2 linked regions of the Styela clava genome follow. The protein of the gene in region 1 purifies or fractionates together with the protein of each later gene. This does not show direct contact. Links are inferred from orthologs where the notes say so. Each region holds a gene or a part of one and is shown on either strand. Other genes may lie near its edges. The genes, in order: programmed cell death protein 10-like and uncharacterized protein LOC120341675.

What was found.
Region 2: the proteins of programmed cell death protein 10-like (region 1) and uncharacterized protein LOC120341675 purify together in Homo sapiens (affinity purification with mass spectrometry; 3 studies listed by BioGRID and IntAct, counting the BioPlex papers as one, with this or other methods). This does not show direct contact. The link is inferred for Styela clava from reciprocal best matches to the Homo sapiens genes PDCD10 and SLMAP.

What each region holds. Positions count from the first base shown.
Region 1 is NC_135256.1:15,288,543-15,297,770, forward strand, and holds the start of programmed cell death protein 10-like, read left to right. Parts: upstream 1-5,707; 5' UTR 5,708-5,796; coding exon 5,797-5,883; intron 5,884-8,141; coding exon 8,142-8,198; intron 8,199-8,386; coding exon 8,387-8,507; intron 8,508-9,039; coding exon 9,040-9,166; intron 9,167-9,228. Other genes in the region: uncharacterized protein LOC120331388, read right to left, coding at 1-23; WD repeat-containing protein 25-like, read left to right, coding at 4,056-5,231. UniProt on the Homo sapiens protein: Promotes cell proliferation. Modulates apoptotic pathways. Increases mitogen-activated protein kinase activity and STK26 activity. Important for cell migration, and for normal structure and assembly of the Golgi complex.
Region 2 is NC_135263.1:9,216,026-9,225,352, reverse strand, and holds the start of uncharacterized protein LOC120341675, read left to right. Parts: upstream 1-5,881; 5' UTR 5,882-6,122; intron 6,123-6,454; 5' UTR 6,455-6,456; coding exon 6,457-6,639; intron 6,640-7,099; coding exon 7,100-7,247; intron 7,248-9,217; coding exon 9,218-9,284; intron 9,285-9,327. UniProt on the Homo sapiens protein: Associates with the striatin-interacting phosphatase and kinase (STRIPAK) core complex, forming the extended (SIKE1:SLMAP)STRIPAK complex.

The sequences.
Region 1 (9,228 bases):
AATTCGTCAATTTTTCCTTCCATTATGACAATATTTTAACTAAGCTACTTATTATGTACGAAGAACCTGTGAATCTTAATCAAACTTAATCAAACAGCGAATAATGGCGCCCCTTAATCAAATAGCGAATAATGTCAGACCGACTGCCAGTGTCCCAATGTGATTATATTCCAAAACAAACTTGCTGTTGAGTATTCAATTTATTCATCACAAACCGCATTTATTCCGAATGTAGGAGAATGCTACATTTGCGATATTATTAGTTTCGTTCATTGTTGTGAAAGTGAGCGCACTGTTGTGCATGTTCTTAATTAATCTAGTTGTCTGCTTTCATGAATTCTATATTAGTAACCTGCATTTTCTGTTGCTTTTTATTTTATTTTTTATTGTGTTGGTCCGGTGAATAGTTCGTAATTCTCTTACCTTGTTTTTTTATCTTAATATTTTAAGCGAATGGACAACTGTTTCACATATTATTGTGGATTTCTTACATATTATTAATATAAATTAATTGGGATTGATTTGGGTGTGAAAAATTACACCATGATGACAAATTTTAGCTGAATATATTATCTACGGCTAATAAAATGTCGACAATATGGCTATCGACCACTGGTTCTCCACTCTCCACTCACTGTGTCCCACTTTCGTTGCACAAAAATTCTGTAGCCTATTAATTTGTATGCGTGTCCGTGTGTGTGAGTTAATTATGTATGTGTACGTAGTTTACGTACCACTTTGGCGATTGGCGGAACCTTTTCAACTTATCATGTACACTATGTCCTTACTTAAGGTTTTGTTCGGTCTCTTGATTCTATATTCAGTTTTTATTTGTTCGTTTTAATCAATTATTTCATCATCTGTTATGCTGATTATGGAGTCAAAATAAACTTATACTTGCAAATTTATACTAATTATACGGTAGCGGCTATGGATCCACGGTAGTTGTCCTGAATGCTGACCACTGGTGGGCAACCTTATTTGTTTTACCTGCCAAAACCAACTAAATTCAACGACAAAATTCTCCCACGTGCCAACTGAAATTTGTGAGCAAATATTACTGACATTTAAAGGTATATATATATATATATATATATATTTATATATATGAAAACGCAATAAACCAAAATTGAATTTATTCGCTTTAAAACCAATGCTTTTCTACCTTCAAAGCAAAAAATGCACAATGATAAACCTTTAAAACATGTAGCCTATTGAGAAAATATTAGTCCGACAAAACGATTTTATTACTTTTCAGTGAGATTTCTGCTGCTACATTACCGCTGACAGAAATTTTACATCGTGTTTATATTTTGCAACCTTCATAGAAATATACGAACTAGACCTACTAGCTTCGCCCGTCAGGCTACTCCTAGAGAACAGAGATTCACAAGAATATGTAGAATTAGAATTTGAAATCAATTTATACCAATATGTTAACAAACAAATCTAACTAGCATGCGCTTTACAACTTCATAAATCAGCCAGAAATGGAGAAAAAGGCGGGACAGGCGTACTATATAATAATAATGAGTATGACTTTATTCTTATTTCCCCGATACACAACATACATAAAAACATACACAAAACAATAAACACACAGAAAATTGGGAAATCGGGTTAACAGGCAAAATCTCTAAAAAGATTTAAAATAAAGTGGAAATACACGTGCCAGTTTACCCATATTACACGAACAAATATATATAAAAAAATTGTAAAAACACGAACGGAATAGTATGAAATATGAATACAACGTTTGTCTCGAGAAAATTTGTTGAAGGTTGAGATCTCAACAACGTAGTTGTTACGTCATAACATATTTCTGTAACCATATCGTATGTCCCGAAAGGATAAGTAAAATTAAATTGAATAAATAACGGAATGTTAACAAACGAAAATGAAAATAAGAACACATAAGAGTTACGTCAGATAATACCGACTATTGAAACATTTTTTTTTTATCTAAGGGGGAAAGTGGTTGCGCAGTGATGCTAACCCCTGCCCTATACGAAATGTTACGTACACACTGAATGGACTTTTCCCCGACCTTTGACCCTCGGAAAAATTTTCCTATACTTTACCATTGCAAAATTTTTGGGGCCATTTTAAGAGTGCTTTTGCGAGTTGGCGCTTGTAAAATGGGGTATGTGTTACAAGCCATCATTATGATTTATCGAATACAACAATCTGTTTTTTGAAAGTACCAGTAAATAATTTCAGGCTAGTCTATCACAGCTATTTCTACACTAATTTTTATTACTGCAATCAAATTAAAACTCCTAGGAAAGACAGAGTGATCATTGAATTATCTGATTTATATGTAATTTTCCGAAACACAACTGAAAACTAACTAATAAAGTTCAAAAACGCGAAAACGAGGTAATGTTTACAACCATACTTGAAAATCCGTCTGAGTGAGAAAAGTGTCTGAGCGGATGCGAAAAGGGGGACATTTTTACGTCATTTTTTGCATCTTGCTGATTGGCCAATGTCGCGAAGTAAACAAGGAAAACGATGCTCGGGGAAAGGTCCATAGCCCCGACCAACGACTGCCCCCGACAGAGGGCGTTCTCGAAGTGCTGTTTCATTTTTGCCTCGTCTCGCTCAAAGTCTTGCTGAAGCTTCTTTTGCTCTTTATTGTTGTTCTGAGGAAAATGCTGCCGATTTTCAGTGGTCTGGTGGTAGGGCTTGCTGATGTTTATGCTTCAGATTTAAGCATACCGGTAACTCCTCCCATACCGTATACTACCAGTACTGCAGTACCTACTCTCCAATTCTGCGATCGCACGAGAGGTTGTGATTCTGTTATTCAACAATGTCAATAGACATATCCGCATACACAATACGGTACAGGCATTAATGATAGAGTGACAAGTAAGCCAGTTGCACAGTCGACAGATTTAGATTTGTTCAGTGGTGAACTCAAGCCCAGAACCTCACTGAAAAATAGAAATATTTTGACCATTTAAAATGTTGTAGCTCCTTAATAGATACCGGTACCGGTACCATACGGTACCGGTACTTCAGTATTTGTATAAAGCCTTGGATGTAGTCTATTTGTGGGTTCTAGGAAAATTCTCCGCAGGAAATTTCCCTGTAGGAAAATCTCGCCGCAGGAAATTTTGCAGCATAGGAAAATTCGCCGCAAGAGCGTTTTGCTGTAAAGCAAGTATTTGTGATAAAAACAGTTAAGTTAGGTCTGTCTGTAGGTTTTTGCAGTATTATTTTATTTAAAAATGATTCGTTATTTAAGAGCATACCCTACTGCCCTAACCCTATAAACCTAGCTGTTTTTATCACAAATACTTGTTTTACAGTAAAATGCTCGTGCTGCGATTTTTCAAGGGTCGAATTTTTCTATGCGGCAAAATTTCCTGTGGCAAATTTTCCAGACACGATATTTGTGATAGAAAAACTTTCATGAAATATCATATTGATACATCATATTCAACTATGAGTTTGCTCTATTATACATTACCATATTATGTTTTTCTCTTCTACTCTGAAATGTAATGGGTCACGGATGAAAAGTTTTATATCCCTTGTCGGCCATTTCCTCAAAGATGTAATAAATTGGGCATGCTGTATGCTGAAGCCAACAATTCTCACAATCTCACAAACATTGGAACATGCCACAAACCAGTGCAGCAGTGGCTGTTTATTTGTTGTGAAGTTATGAATACATTCTGCAGAGCTCACTCATTTCAACCAATTTAAATTATTTTTATAATTTTTCGTTATACAGTATTACGATAATTTTGCAATGTATTGAGCAGATGGACGTGCCAATAATTTCAGCAAAGTTGACATATCGCGACGGACAAACAATTGATTTTCTTCATCCCAAGAATGGACGGGATTTAGAATTGAGCACTGATTTAAAACTATTACAAGACGATGTTAATAATGTATTAACTGACCTGGTGTTGCTTGAAAAAAAAGAAAATAATAAACCAGCTGTTCAGGAAAACTCTTCTTGCGACGAAGAAAGTGATTCTAATGATAATAACAATACAGAGCCGAAAGAGAAAAAATTGAAAAATCAATAAGTTTTGATGGATGACACCATTATAAAACCATATATTTCGAAACGAAAAAGAAAAAGTGCTCAAAAACGTGAAACGGATGTTGTAAAAGGGGTTAGGGAACAGCCGAATTCTGAAGATATTAAAAAGATATTTTTAACCGATGATGTTGTATATCAAAATACCTTGAGGAATCCTCATGGAAACAGATGTTCTAAGTTTCTCAGTCAATGTAAAGTTATTACTGATGGCCCACTATGGAAAATCAAGTGGTGTAAAAAATTCAGTCATCTGCTTTCAACAACCTCACATAATTCTATCAGATTGTATGATGTTATGAAAGGTAGTGAGATGCGTTATGTGTTCGATTCATCGTTAAGTGGTGATGCTCGTTCCTACAAAGATCTTGATTGGTCCAGGTCATCACGACAGATTGTGGCTTGCTCATTTGATAAAACGATAGAAACTTGGGATTTTTTGTGCTCAGGAAACCAATCTCTTTGTATATCATTACCAGAGATTCCTTCTGTAGTAAGATGGTCAAATGAAGATGATAACCTGTTACTCGTTGGTGGTGCAAATTCTTTTCTTGCGTCTTATGATATTCGCAGTGGTAGAAAGGCTATATCGTATAAATCTCAGTTTGGTAATCTTTTAAGTATTGATTCATTTTCCGACACTGGAACATTTGTTGCCACGGGTGACGTCGTGAGCAGGCAATCAGCTCAATATTCAATCATTGTTTGGGACTTTGCCACTGGAGCTAAATTATCTGACCAAATATTTCACGAGCGTTATTCTTGTCCGGCTGTGAGTGTCCATCCCAGTGAGACATCGTTTCTAGCTCAGACGAATGGGAATTATATAGCACGGTTTAATGCAACAAGTCCATATCGACTGGATAAATATTTACGGTACGATCAACATACAGTAGAAGGTTACCCTGTTGGTTTTGATATATCTCCTGATGGTACTATAGTGGTGTCAGGCAGTTCAGATGGATCTGTTGTGTTTTATAAATATACATCTGGTGCTGTATTGAAAAGAATAATGCTCCAAGATAATATTAGTTTTCGAAATATCAGTACCAGTTCTTCTGGGACTAGTGTGCAAAAATCACCTATTGTTTCGGTACAGTTTCACCCTGTTTTACAAAGCATGGTAGCCGTAAGTGATTGGACCGGAAAATTGCACTTGTTGAAATAGCAATCGAAAACAGTTTTTATGACATTGTGTCAAATTTGCAGAGATGACTAAAACTTAGTATACTTTGTTGCAATCTGAATGCTAGATGGAATTTTAAATTTGCATGAAAGAAGTTTTTTTTTTCAAATATGATGGGCCTATACAGGAATATTTAAAAATTGAAGGAAATCGTTGTTTTATTCTGTCCCAGTTATGCTTCATTTCCAAATTGAGCATTTCTTTGTGATGTCTGTTTGTCTTCATGTAATTATCCAATTAATTATGTCCTATACTGTCAAGTAGATATGACTAGAAAATTTTTTTTTTTTCTGAGTATCCTGATTTGCACACTAGTGTCTTTGTCATAATACCGTAGTTGTTCATTGTTATACCCAGTAAAATGATACTCAATTGAACTCAATTTTGAGAGTGGTGTTCTTATGAACTCTTTCTTTATATTGTTTGCCCATCATAATTCAATACTATTGTCATTCTTTTTAGAAATACTATTAGGTGAAATAGATTTTAATCTTAAGAAGTGCTTGATGGAATCAATCACTTCATAAATCTGTTAATTGTACGAGTGATGGCTGGATCATCAAACGATCATCAAAACTCAATGAAGCCTGTATCGGTGTCACTGCATGTTGCCTTACTTCCTGTACTAGATGAAGTAAGTACCTTCTTCATACTAGTTTTGTATTCCATGTTGTTTTCATTTTCAAATTGGACTAGAAAATGGAAATGTGGCATAGGGCAGGGCTACTCAGCTGGTGTATCACTGTCCGTATTCGGACCTTTCGAATATTTGATTCGGGCGCACCTAATTCTTTATTTTGGATCATTAGCCCCACCCCTCATGACTTTTATTGTTTTGAATAGCCCTATATATGAAAAGAACTATAACACCATAATAAACAATCTTGATCAGCTAATAATCATTAGCCCGTTGAGGAAGTGCTTAATAATGATGCCAAAATATAATTTCTGGAAACACTGGACCCGAATAATTTTGAAGTTTTGTATGCAGATTTTCGGTAAAAATTGGTGGGTTGCTCTGGCATAGGGTATTTGAATTTTGAGTAGCAGACTATAATAAATTTCTATGAAGCTGGTATTTGGATTACTATGTAAAGAAACATTAATATTGATACAATTGTTAGGATAATCTGTATTTCTCCTTGGTTATATATCATCTGTGTGCTTCATTACCTCAAGTGTTTTTCCATTATAGTGATCTGAAAGGTAGTTATGTCAACCCCAAGACGAAAAATATTTGTTCACCTTTGTGGTTTTTCAATTCAAAAAGAAGTCGATAACATTTTGATAGTCAGATTCTTTTGATCTTTAGTGAAATCATTAGTGAAGAAATGAATAGTTTTTACCAAATATTTCGGAATATTTAGATAAATAAAATTTGGATACTTTACTGATGCCAAAAACAAGATGGATGGGGCCAATTCAATGTACTTTCTATATTCCTGAATATAACAGTAATTTTTCTGTAATGTCATCACAAAGCTTTGGTAATAACTCCCGAGATTCAGAAAGTTTTTCAAAGGCTGGGGTTTTTGTGATTCATAGTATAATACAGTACTATATGTGATATAATTACTGTAACATATTTTCCTAATTTCTATATTAATTACATCAAGGTTTCTTTTTTAGAGGGTTCTATTTTTGTCTGTTAGCATTATTCTTCAGTATTTAAAATATTGCAACACTGCTATTTTGTACATTTCCAGTTCATCAGTTTATCTATTGTTAGTGAAACACAGTCACTTTCAATTTGATATTGATTGGTATACTATCCAAATATAAATAGTGGGTGGGCATGCATAGATCGAATGAGTGATGTGATTTTGTTCAAACAAGAATTTAACACAGTCATCATATCTGTATAATCTTATAAAAACACAGCCCTAACATGGCCATGCGAACAATTCTAATAAAAATTTACATCCCTCACTTGATCAGACATGATCATGAAATAATTTTTTTTATTGTATGTACTGTTACTTCCTCTTCCTATTTGTGAAACAGACACGACCCGCTGAACAAAATTGATATACACTCAAGCATGGGATAAAGAATTTTAATAACTATAATTAAATATTATTATATAAAGGTATTTAATTAATAATTTTAGGGAACGATGTCATTGGTTGAAAGTGTTACAAGTGGTATGGAACTAGGGTATTTTACCATGTGGACTACGCCCTTTTTATCGTCACTGCTAGACGGTCAATTGTGCTATTTATAGTATTGGCGAACAGCTACCATAATACTAAGCGTATATGGTTACGTAATATAATATCTTACATATGTACGTGAATCACATCAATGTCTCACTTTTGTTTGATCGATGATTTATATTGTCACTACTTCGTAATTCCCTTTATTACCTGAAGAGTCATTGTATGTTTTTTATAATCAATTTGTCACAATGTTTTATTTTCCGAAAATTAGTAGTGATCGGTTATATATTGTATTCTTCTATCAAAAAGCCTGGTTTAAGAATTATAGATACTCTGTGTTGATGTCAATATGTCCTGTATATGCTTGGTATACATGAATTGTATTAAATTATAACATGCATACAAAGTATTATTAATATTTTATCATGTACAAGTTTTTGTTATTCCCTAATAATTTAATGGGATTTACCCCAAGTTTTTAAAATCTCTAAAATATTTGAGGTTTCCCAGCCTAATTCCACATAAGACTTAAGATAAGGTTAGATGAAGCATAACGGAACAAATATATTTTTGTTTGTTTTGCAGCAAAAACCTTCAGCCATTTGAATGTTTTTAAATATTATGAGAATATATCCTAGCCTTATATTCATGATTTACAATACTTTTTCAATTTTTTTGAAAAGTTTTTCAAACCAATTTTGAACCCAAGATTAATAGTCACTTTTATTTTCAGCTTTCTAAAGAATGTGACAAAAAGACAATTTTGATGCTAAAAGATGCTTTCACAAAGGTAAATGTGAACTACTTTTTTCTATTTAGGAGTACTGACTTAATAGAATTCCAATTTCAAACAGTGGTCATAAGAGATATGGACTTGGCTTTGCGGCTGAATAATATCACTTTAACCTTACAATCTTCCCTATAATGACAAGCAGCAATGTAATTTCTGCATCTGATAAATCTTCTCTAATATTTTAGACTGAAAAGCAAGTTCCAGGATTTACACAGGAATTCTTGAATGGATTATTACAAAAAGAAGTTCCGGGAGAAATTAATTTCACAGAAAGTTTACTGCGAATGTCGGGACGTGATAGCCCAGGTAAACTATGCTTGCAAGAGTGGAGCACAGTTTGTCGTGCCTATTCTACTAGGCCTGTTACTATTTGTGTTATTTTTTCAACAAAGATAGAGAAATTCAATAAAAATTACAAGCTCATTTTTCAAATTACACATGAATCAAGATTTCATATCAAAATAATCCCAAATTTCTAATTTAGTAAAATTTGAAAAAATAACACGCTGTGTACCTGGATTTCTATTTTTGTGTGAAGTAAGTGCCATACACCAACACCAGTGCTTTTCAACCTTTTTCTTACTCCGGGCCCAACTGACACTTGATATTTTGTTGTTTATAAATTATAATTACATTATAAATTTGAAGGCTCATTCCCGTTTATGTTTTCTATTTACAATCTTAGGGTGCTGTCCTTCCGTACATAACTTGGTGGTTGGGTCTGCAGGTACAGGCTATATCTTCCTGAGAACAGTTTTCATAATACCATTATCTTTAACCCCTGTTATAAAGATATTTTTATAGTCATTATTGCTATTGTTATGCTTTTATGTAACAGAGTTTGCATTACAACACAAGGAACCAGAATTCATCAAGTTATCTGATCGAGCCAGGTTATTAAAACAAATATTATCGAGGATACCTGATGAAATGCATGACAGACCCAGATTTCTTCAAACGATAAAGTAAGATTTTCTAATTTAATATTTTTGCGAGATGACATAGATTTTTTGTAGAGCCATTTAAA
Region 2 (9,327 bases), on another chromosome or scaffold:
CGCCTTTCGCGTCCGTTTTCCGCTCGCTTTTGCTACTCGGCGTCTTTTTTACGTGTAGTACCTGCCTTTTTGCGCCTGTAACGAAACAAAATAATCTCTATATCTAAGAAGTTTTGCTTACTTGGAAAGCTGGAATAACAGGCAAGCTGTAAAGAGCAATTCTGGACATCATAGACGTTTTTTTTTATCAGAAAAGATTACAAACGCGATAGCGGAAAGATTTGTGTGGAACATTTTGCAGATAATGACAAAGTTCAAAGTTAGTAACTTTAATGTTTGCGCTTAATCATTGAAATTTCATTTAAAGAGGGTGTCATACAAAACTGTGCTGCGATACAATTCCATAACACAAAGTTTGCACCTATCGAACTTGCTTTTGTAGGTGAATTTATTAGACATATTACATATTCAGTTAATCGTAGGTAACATTGCTGGTACATAATGCATCGTAGATAGGTTTGTTTAAATTTAGGAATTTAGCTCATAGCCCACTAATTAATATTATCTTCTATGCAGGAGGTTGCAGGGCTGAATTCAACTTGCAGCCTTACCGATCACCTGACGATGCTCATTTAGTTTGGCTCGAGCAAGTCTTCTTGAAATGCTTGTGTGAATGGAAACTACCTATATTTTTTGCCTTCCTCCGATTTTAGACAAATTTATTCTGAGGGATTTCGCATATAATTCTCACTGATTGTTGGCTGTTTATAATTCCTATTGATTGTGAATTCTGATTATAACAATGAGTTGAAAATTTTTTTACCTAATTTACTGGCACCTTTTTCTTGTCAATACTCCAAGCTGAGGTAATAAACATGACAATACATTTATGTCATCTGGAAGCAAAATATGCACACAAATTAATAGTTTGGCACATTGAGATAATACATCATGACAGAAAATACAAGTTAAAGATATGTATGACCATCACATGGTAATTAAAATTAAAAAAAATTAATAGGGGCTGTGGAGTATGGGAAGTTCAAGACAAAGAAAAGAACAAATGTTCATAGCTCATGAACTCTCAATTTTGCCTCCATTGCTTTGTGAAGGCCAATATATTTCGAGTGGCTGAATTGGTTTACCTCTATGATAGCAACGATTTTGTATTTAATATAGCGAGATTATTTCAATTTAATTGAAGTGATATAATTTCCCAAAGCAATGCTTGAATCGTCTAGAATAGATCAGTGGTGTCAAACTCATGGGTTTTCGAGAGCCGCATTACATTTTGAAAATTGTAAAAAGAGCCGCAAACAGTTTTTGATAATGTATACTTAAAAGATATTTTTAAGATAGTTTTAGTTTGTGACATATATTGTGATGCAACTAAACAGTTGGATTAAGTTTTATTATTTTCTTCAATTTCAAATGCAATTACATATTAATATTTGCATTCCACTATTATTGCAACATTTGCAAGTTACAGTATTTATTATAAAAAATCGTAAAATTCTATGTACAACCATCAAAATCATTTTTGAACAAGCTTTGAATAAGGAAAGAATAATACATACACTAAAAATAACTTAATCTAAATATATGAACCTAAAATTAACAAAAATACTACAGTATAAACTCAATGTTTTAATAATTACATTCGTCCTGGCGTTTGGCATCTTTTTTGTGTCACCAGCATACTAAGGCCAGTCTGAAATGATTTTATAGTACTCTAACTAACGAGGCCACATGATCATGGGTTTATCTGGATCTTTACGAATGTTTAAATAATTCCAGTAATGCAAAAAAGTTACTTTTATCATTTCATGTATAGATCAGTAAAAAAACAAATGACAGATTTTTTCGACAAGACATTTCGCACTACATTGCGTGGCATAGGATTGCTTGAATTATTATTGATATTGATTTTTAGTAACTAAGTCGTTGTATAATTATATTAATATACAAACACATGGAAATTTTCTGTTCGAAGTTGGTCTTCGAATTTGTCATATTGACTGCTGAGCTTATTGTGTTTTTTGATTGTATTGATGGAAATATGACAAATTAAACAATGTGCTTCAGAATTTTGTGAAGAGCAGAAATGTTACAACTCCCATTTTCTTCGAAAATGCCACCTTCTTCGTGTACTTTGCGTTTAATTTAATTACTCAAGTGTTTTATTCAAGTATTCTTTTGCTAGCTTGATGTGTATTCTTAATTGGGTCAAAATGTGGACAAAAAAAATTAATATTCCAAAACTACTTTCAGTAAATTGTTTTCTGTGTGAATAATCAATTTCACTTTAGAAGGTTTGAAAAATCTATTACATTTAAATAAAAAAAAAAATTCCAAAATACTATTACAATTATTGTTAAGCGTTCGAGGGCCGCACTGGAAGTTCTCTGGGGCCGCGAGTTTGAGATCCCTGGTCTAGATTGAAGTTGTTCAAAAAATATATTATAGTATTTTATCATGAATGATGATTATACCCCTTTCGGAATTTTTTCTATAGTACTACCAAAAGTTGATGAACCAAATATAACACAAGTGCAGTGAGGTACCCGTAATCCTCATTTCCAAAGCTGTTTTAAGTATGTCTGGCGTGTTTTGTGCCTTTTTACAAATAAGACCGCTTATGCAATCTTACGCTTTGGAATTTTTAGTTATTTTCCTCAAGCCCTGCAGGATGTGGGGGCCATACACAACTCTACCGGAGGGTCAAATGTCTTTGCATGCCTCCATAGGTTGTTTTTCTATTGCAATTTTCTATTTTCAATTGCATTATATTTCTTGGAATCACACTGTCACTGATATGTCACCAGACTTCTGATATCTCCACGTCTGCTATAGTTGTCCTGTGAATAAATAATAGGAAATTGAGATTAGACGAATAGTTGAAAGTTTTGCTTTATGTCGGCTTAATTTCTTGATTGATATACTTACTATTTCTGCTATTGCCTCTTGTGCTGCAAGAGTCTCACAATGCTTAGACAGGTTTGTCCACAACTTTCACATCTGAAGAAAGAGAGGAGATTTATTAATTTTCGTTAAGAATAAATAAAGCAGTCTATATGATTCAGAATGGAAAAGCTAATAAATCCAATATCTCATGTTTTATTTAAAAAATATTTTACTGAATTTTGGAAAATAAACCAACTAATAAAAGGGTTTAGTCAGAAAATTACAAGCATTCGTGGCTCCAAATACTTGAGAAATCAGACTATACAATATAGACCGGTATGAGTGAAATGTTAGGTGAACTTGTTAACACTTTGATTAAATACGCAAATAAAAGTGAATGCGTAATAGTATGTTACAATGAGCAGCAATCAACAATGAGTATATATCCTCACTGATTAAAAAAATCTAACTGGAGGTGCATGAACTATTTGAAACCATAAGGAGTAAGTAAATATGTAATTTCGGCAAATGGGCAACTACGTACCGTACTGAATTAATAACTTCGTAGTATTTGACAAAGGCTGGCTTTCCCACATGTACTTAACAGTGCGATGCCCGGTTGTGATATACAACAATAGTATTCACCTTACCTTTTACCGATTTCTTTTTATCCCAACTTTCAAAAATATCATTAAAATCGACAACAACTGTCAAAGCAGGCACGAACACCATTCGTGCTACGCCTTGAAAGCAGCACACATCCGCTCGTTTTCGTCTCGTCAAGTATGTGCATTGGAGCGTGCTATCGAATACGATCTTCGGACAAAAATGCCGGAGTTGCGCATCATGTTGTTTAATGTCATTGATGTGATGAACGCGGTTGATTTTCAATGCACAATTTCTCAATTCTCGGGGCAGTTTGTGACAAGCAAATTCTTAGATCCAACTCTACGGCATATCTCGGCATATATTTTGTCATCATATTGGTAAGATCTGAAAATGCTGCGCAGACATGTAGGCTGTTTTAAAATGCAATAAATTTTAATTGACTTTTCTGACAGCAATGAATATTCGTCCGCCGCAGTCAACCAAAAATAAGCAATGGAGTTTTGATTGAAATCAATCGTTGAAGATTGACCCAGCTCTTTTCCGGTCGTTGCAGAACCCTCGAGCAGTCATCACGGACACCCAGTTTGGAAAACCCTGCATCAGGATATCATTGGTGCAAGGGCAAATGTAATTTTTACATTTAGTCTAAACAAAAGAAAGATTTCCAAATGTTTGGGACCAAATGTCCACTCATGATGATTTGAATGGAATTTCCCGCGATGGAGAAAAGGGTTTATGTATGATGTTGGTTTTGACAAGATTATTGACTTAACTAGATTTCATTTTTGGACACGTAGTGGACATAGCGATCGTTTCAATATTATGTTGTTGTTGGACATGTAGTGGACATAACGATCGTTTCAATATTATGTTGTTCTTGTTGTTTGACACAGAATAACACACCTAGTGGAAATATTAAAAAAAAACGCTTTTCTCTTCGAATACTGGACCTATTGCTTTGAAATTTTCAGTGGTTGAAGATATTACTTTTATTCATTTTAAATATGTCTGCTAGCTCTGTGAGATTTGTTTTTGTTTGCTATGACGTCATTAAACTTTCTGCGGCCATCGGACGCCATTTTGTGTCCTACTGTACTGCTTCGCTTGGTGTGAATATATTTGTAGACTGTGATCTGACGGTACGGTAAACCGTACTGTACTGCGAACAGACGTGTGCATATATTTGGGCGTAGCTCTCTTGTTTTATTTGATTTGATAATGTTTTTCTTGATTGAAACGATTTAAGTTCATTATTCTTTTATCCAATATGCGGCGCCCGAGAGCTGCATCAAATCCATTTTTCACGTAAACCCTTCCCAATGCCTTTTGTTTGTCTTTATTATTTCGAATTCAAGAGCAAATCCTGGGACAGTGAATCAGAAGTTTGGGTTGTGCACTTTTAGGAGGTTGTGAGTAGACTATATAGGCAATGGTGCTGGTTTCCCAGCTTTAGCTTTGATAATTATCTATACCCAAATTTGTTGTGTCTGTTTAGACAAAATCTTAATTAAGCTTAGACAAGTGAAAGAATATTTTTAAGGGTATTTTAATCATAATTTTATTAGGCCCAAGCCCAATATTCTGATATTACTATCGGACTCATGTTGGTTTATGTCCGCATGTTGTATTCCTAACTTAGAAATTTTTGTGACTGATGTTTGCCTGAACTTGTCTCATACACTGATACTGACAGACTGATCTTCTTTCAGCAACTTAATTGACCAGACTGCCAGAGCTCAACTTTCTGACTTTTCTATTTCAATTATATTTTCCCGAATAAATTTCACCTCTTATATGTTATACTGTTATAAGTTAAGCATAAGTTTATTTTGACATCATAATCAGCATAACAGCCGAAAAATAATTGATAAAAACAAATAAATAAAAGCTGATTGCTGAATTAGGAGATAGAATTGTCAATTGGGGATACAGAAAAAATTACGACTTCATTGAAAAACACTCAAATTTGATCACATCATACTATCTACATTTTGGCCATTGCTGCATTAAATCAACTCTACAGCAATATCACAAAATGCATGTTTATATAAAGGATGTACCACAGCTAATTAAAAAATGTAATAGGCCTATAGCTCGACTGCTCGCTTAGTTACAATAACAGAATAATCAGTAATCTTCAGTTTTGATATTTAATTCTGTAATTGCTTTCAAACTATCAACCTTGATCACTGCATCGTGTAGGGTTTGAATCAAATAATAATTTAATTTATATCCTGTTAAAATAAATTGAATTACGTGGACACAAACTATAAAAAATTTCAGTTTTCTGTAATTGCTTATCATTAATTTATGTTTTATTTACAATTCGTTGAACACCCTTAATTAATGTGTTCCACATCCAATTTAATACAGTAATACCTGAATACTGATATGAAAGCATTTTTTTATATATTACAGTTATATATACTAGTTCATGAGGTCATTATACTGTTACATCATACAGCAATATCAACATTATTATTAACATCATCGGACAATGACTATGATCAGATAATAGTCTAGATACAGCATCATGTAAATTGGTTTGAAGTTCTAAAAACTTGCAACTACAATGACAACTACACATTGTGTTCTTCAACATTGGTGAAGTGCAAAAGTACCTTTGAGCAATTTCCAATTTGAGGATATATCACCCTAAGTACAAACAGGTGAGAACAGATTATTTTGAGACAAATATATGCTTCTTGGTATTGTATCAAGATTTTGGTTCTTACAATCAGTGAACTTGCTATTTTTTTAGCATTTAGTTTGCTAGTCAATAACCATGTATTGTTCTTGCAAGCTGCTACTGTTCTCTTATGAATATATATATATTCAGATATTGGCTTTTTTATTTGGGCAAATTATCAAAACTGCAGAAAACTGGAAAATCAAGGTCAAGCTTTTAATTTATACAAACGAGAGTTGTAAACATATCTCAATGATAAAACATAGTGCTGCTTCATATAAATTTTAAATATGGGTGAAATCATAATTTCAGAAATGACTGCAACATTCACTTGTCGTACAAATTCTCATCCATTCCAAGAGAGGAGAGTTTCGTTGACGGAGCCAGCTAAAATTGGCCGTTCAGTCGCCAGAGCGCGACCAGCAGCAAACAATGCAATATTTGACTGTAAAGTTTTGTCAAGAAATCATGCCTTGTTATGGTATGAAGATGGCAAGGTAAACTTTAGTTGGAATTTCATGAAATTGAAACTTTATTAATGTGAAATGAAATTAGGTTTTGTTCTTATAAATCGGAAATGAAAACAACTTGTGTGGGCACAATGGCTCAACAGTTGACTTTGTAGACATCGCAGGGTAAACATCTCATGCCTACCATCTCAATAATTGAGTTGTCAATGCCGTAACAGACTTCCCAATTCCTCTAGAAAATAGGAGCTCTAAATATCGTTAGATACCAGCTTGCTTGTAGTAACAGGGTCTTGTTCTGAGCAAAAGACATGACACAAAATAGGTAGCCTATGATATATATTCTAACACCGTTATACGATTACTTTGGTAATGTACAAGATGTTTCATCTCAATAGTGTAGATTTGCTTTGATCGAGAAAAATAGCCTTCAATGTGATGAAAATATAGTATGCTATATCAATCTAATCTTATGTTTCTTTTTCTTCAGTTTTATTTGAAAGATACTAAAAGCAGTAATGGGACTTTTGTAAATAACCAAAGATTAAGTAAAGGTGCTGAAGAAAGTATGCCATTCGAAGTAAATTCTGGTGACATTGTGCAGTTCGGCGTTGATGTGGTGGAGAACTCAAGAAGAGGTGACCTGGTGTTTTTCTTATAATTCTAGATAGTGGTGATTTGAGTGAGATGTGATAAGTTATATAGCATTGGCTGACATTGTTAATTGTTATATTTAAATCAGTTTGTGGTTTATTAAAGATTAGTTCTGGTAGTCTAGTCCAGTTATATAAAGCAAGAATTTGTTTTTGTTGCAAGTTCCTCATTCAGATTTGCTAGGAGCAATCTTTAAATATTGAAATTACATTGATTGTATTGGTAGAAATTTTGACAGTATTATATAATATCTTTTGAGTGTTCCATATAATATTCTTCTGCATCTAAATTTTGTATTTGTTGTATACCACTCCTGTAAATATATCATGAACTTGGCTTTAATTTTGTTAAAAATGCAAGTTGTACGAACTGGAGAACCAGCCACCACCCAAAAATAAGCCAATTAAGTATCAAAAGAGAATGATGCATATTGACCGAATGGAAGTTCAAAACTGATCAATTCTAAATTAATTATATTTGATGTTTTAAATTCGTGATTTTAGGAATAATTTAGTGGAGATTCATTTCAAAATTTATCATTTTAACCTCCACAATCCACATCATATATGAAACGGCCTTATTAGGAGGTATACAATAAATAGTTGACCAATCAAATCACTAGGCTATTCATCTTAACCTTCCTGCATTTGCAAATTCAAACTCATTGAATGCAATGCAACTTGACTTCTTTATGTTTTATTTTAACATGGCCCAATTAGAATATATTTATTAATCATATCCAAACATTATTTCAGAATGTATTTAGAATTGTATATTATTCGGTTTTGATCCTTGCTTACTGTTCGCTTCTTGGTAGATATTCCTTTCAATATAACATAACAATTATGTTATGATAACTCATATTAAGTTGGAAGATTTTTTTGTTTAAGCCCATGAGCATAATCACCTCTGAATTCCAAATCATATTCTCACTTGTAAAGTTGAATTATCTTAAATTTCAAATTTTAGATATATTGAAACTTTAATATTGAATAATTAAATTATCGTAGCAATGCAGTCATGTGTGTCCACGAACAATCAAATTGATTTAAACAACTTTTGATTTTGTGGTTATACCTCTCGTAATTGTTCTAGTTCATGCCTCAAACAATACCCAAGTAGGAGTTTGAATTCATTCACTTGAACAAGACACTCAATAGTCCAATCCTACTTATCCTGTCGTAGTAATAGGGTATACACAAATGGCTCCGATGGGGATTCTATGAATACAAAATATGTCCTTGCATAAAATAAACTACATTGATTTTGGTTTATTTTTATGTCAGTTGTCAACTAATTTACTAAATCAATCAAAAGTATCCCTACTTTCCATATGCATGAACGCTTTTAGTGTTTCATGTCAAATTTTATGGATGAAAATCCAGCAGATAGGTTATTTTTGCAGAATACATTCATACATTTAGATTGATGGTTTCCTACCTTTTTTAATACATTCCCCCTTTGCATGTTATGAAACTCTTCTTTCCCCCTTGCAATGCTTACTAGCAGATGATATGCACATCTTGCATGAGGGCTCACGTACAATTTGTAATAAATGTATAAATTTGTATTACAATACTGCTAAATGAGTCAATATTTGTTATACTACACGCAGGTACAGAAGTTTCTCCCCAAAAATAGTAACATTCTTTCCTGGGACGGAAATGATTCCTGACATAATCAAATTTCGAAACTAATCTCCAATCAAATTTCTCGATTATGAAACCATATGATCATCCTTAGTCATACACACCATTGCTTACCCTCTAAGTTTAAATTACGGTATAGCATGTAATATGTGGTACATATAGTGATATTTTTCTACTCATGCGGTTTACATAACAGCATTCTATATATAGAAGGTAATATTTAGTTGTAATGCTTCAGATACTTCCATCTCTCTCAGTAAATTTACTATTTCACTATATAATAATACTATATTTTTAATTTTTAGTAACTCATGGCTGTATTGTTTCACAAGTACGTTTATATCTTCCAAATGGTGATGAAGCCAAACAAAGGTAATTATATGACTTTTATTTATCACAACAAGCAATAGTAGTT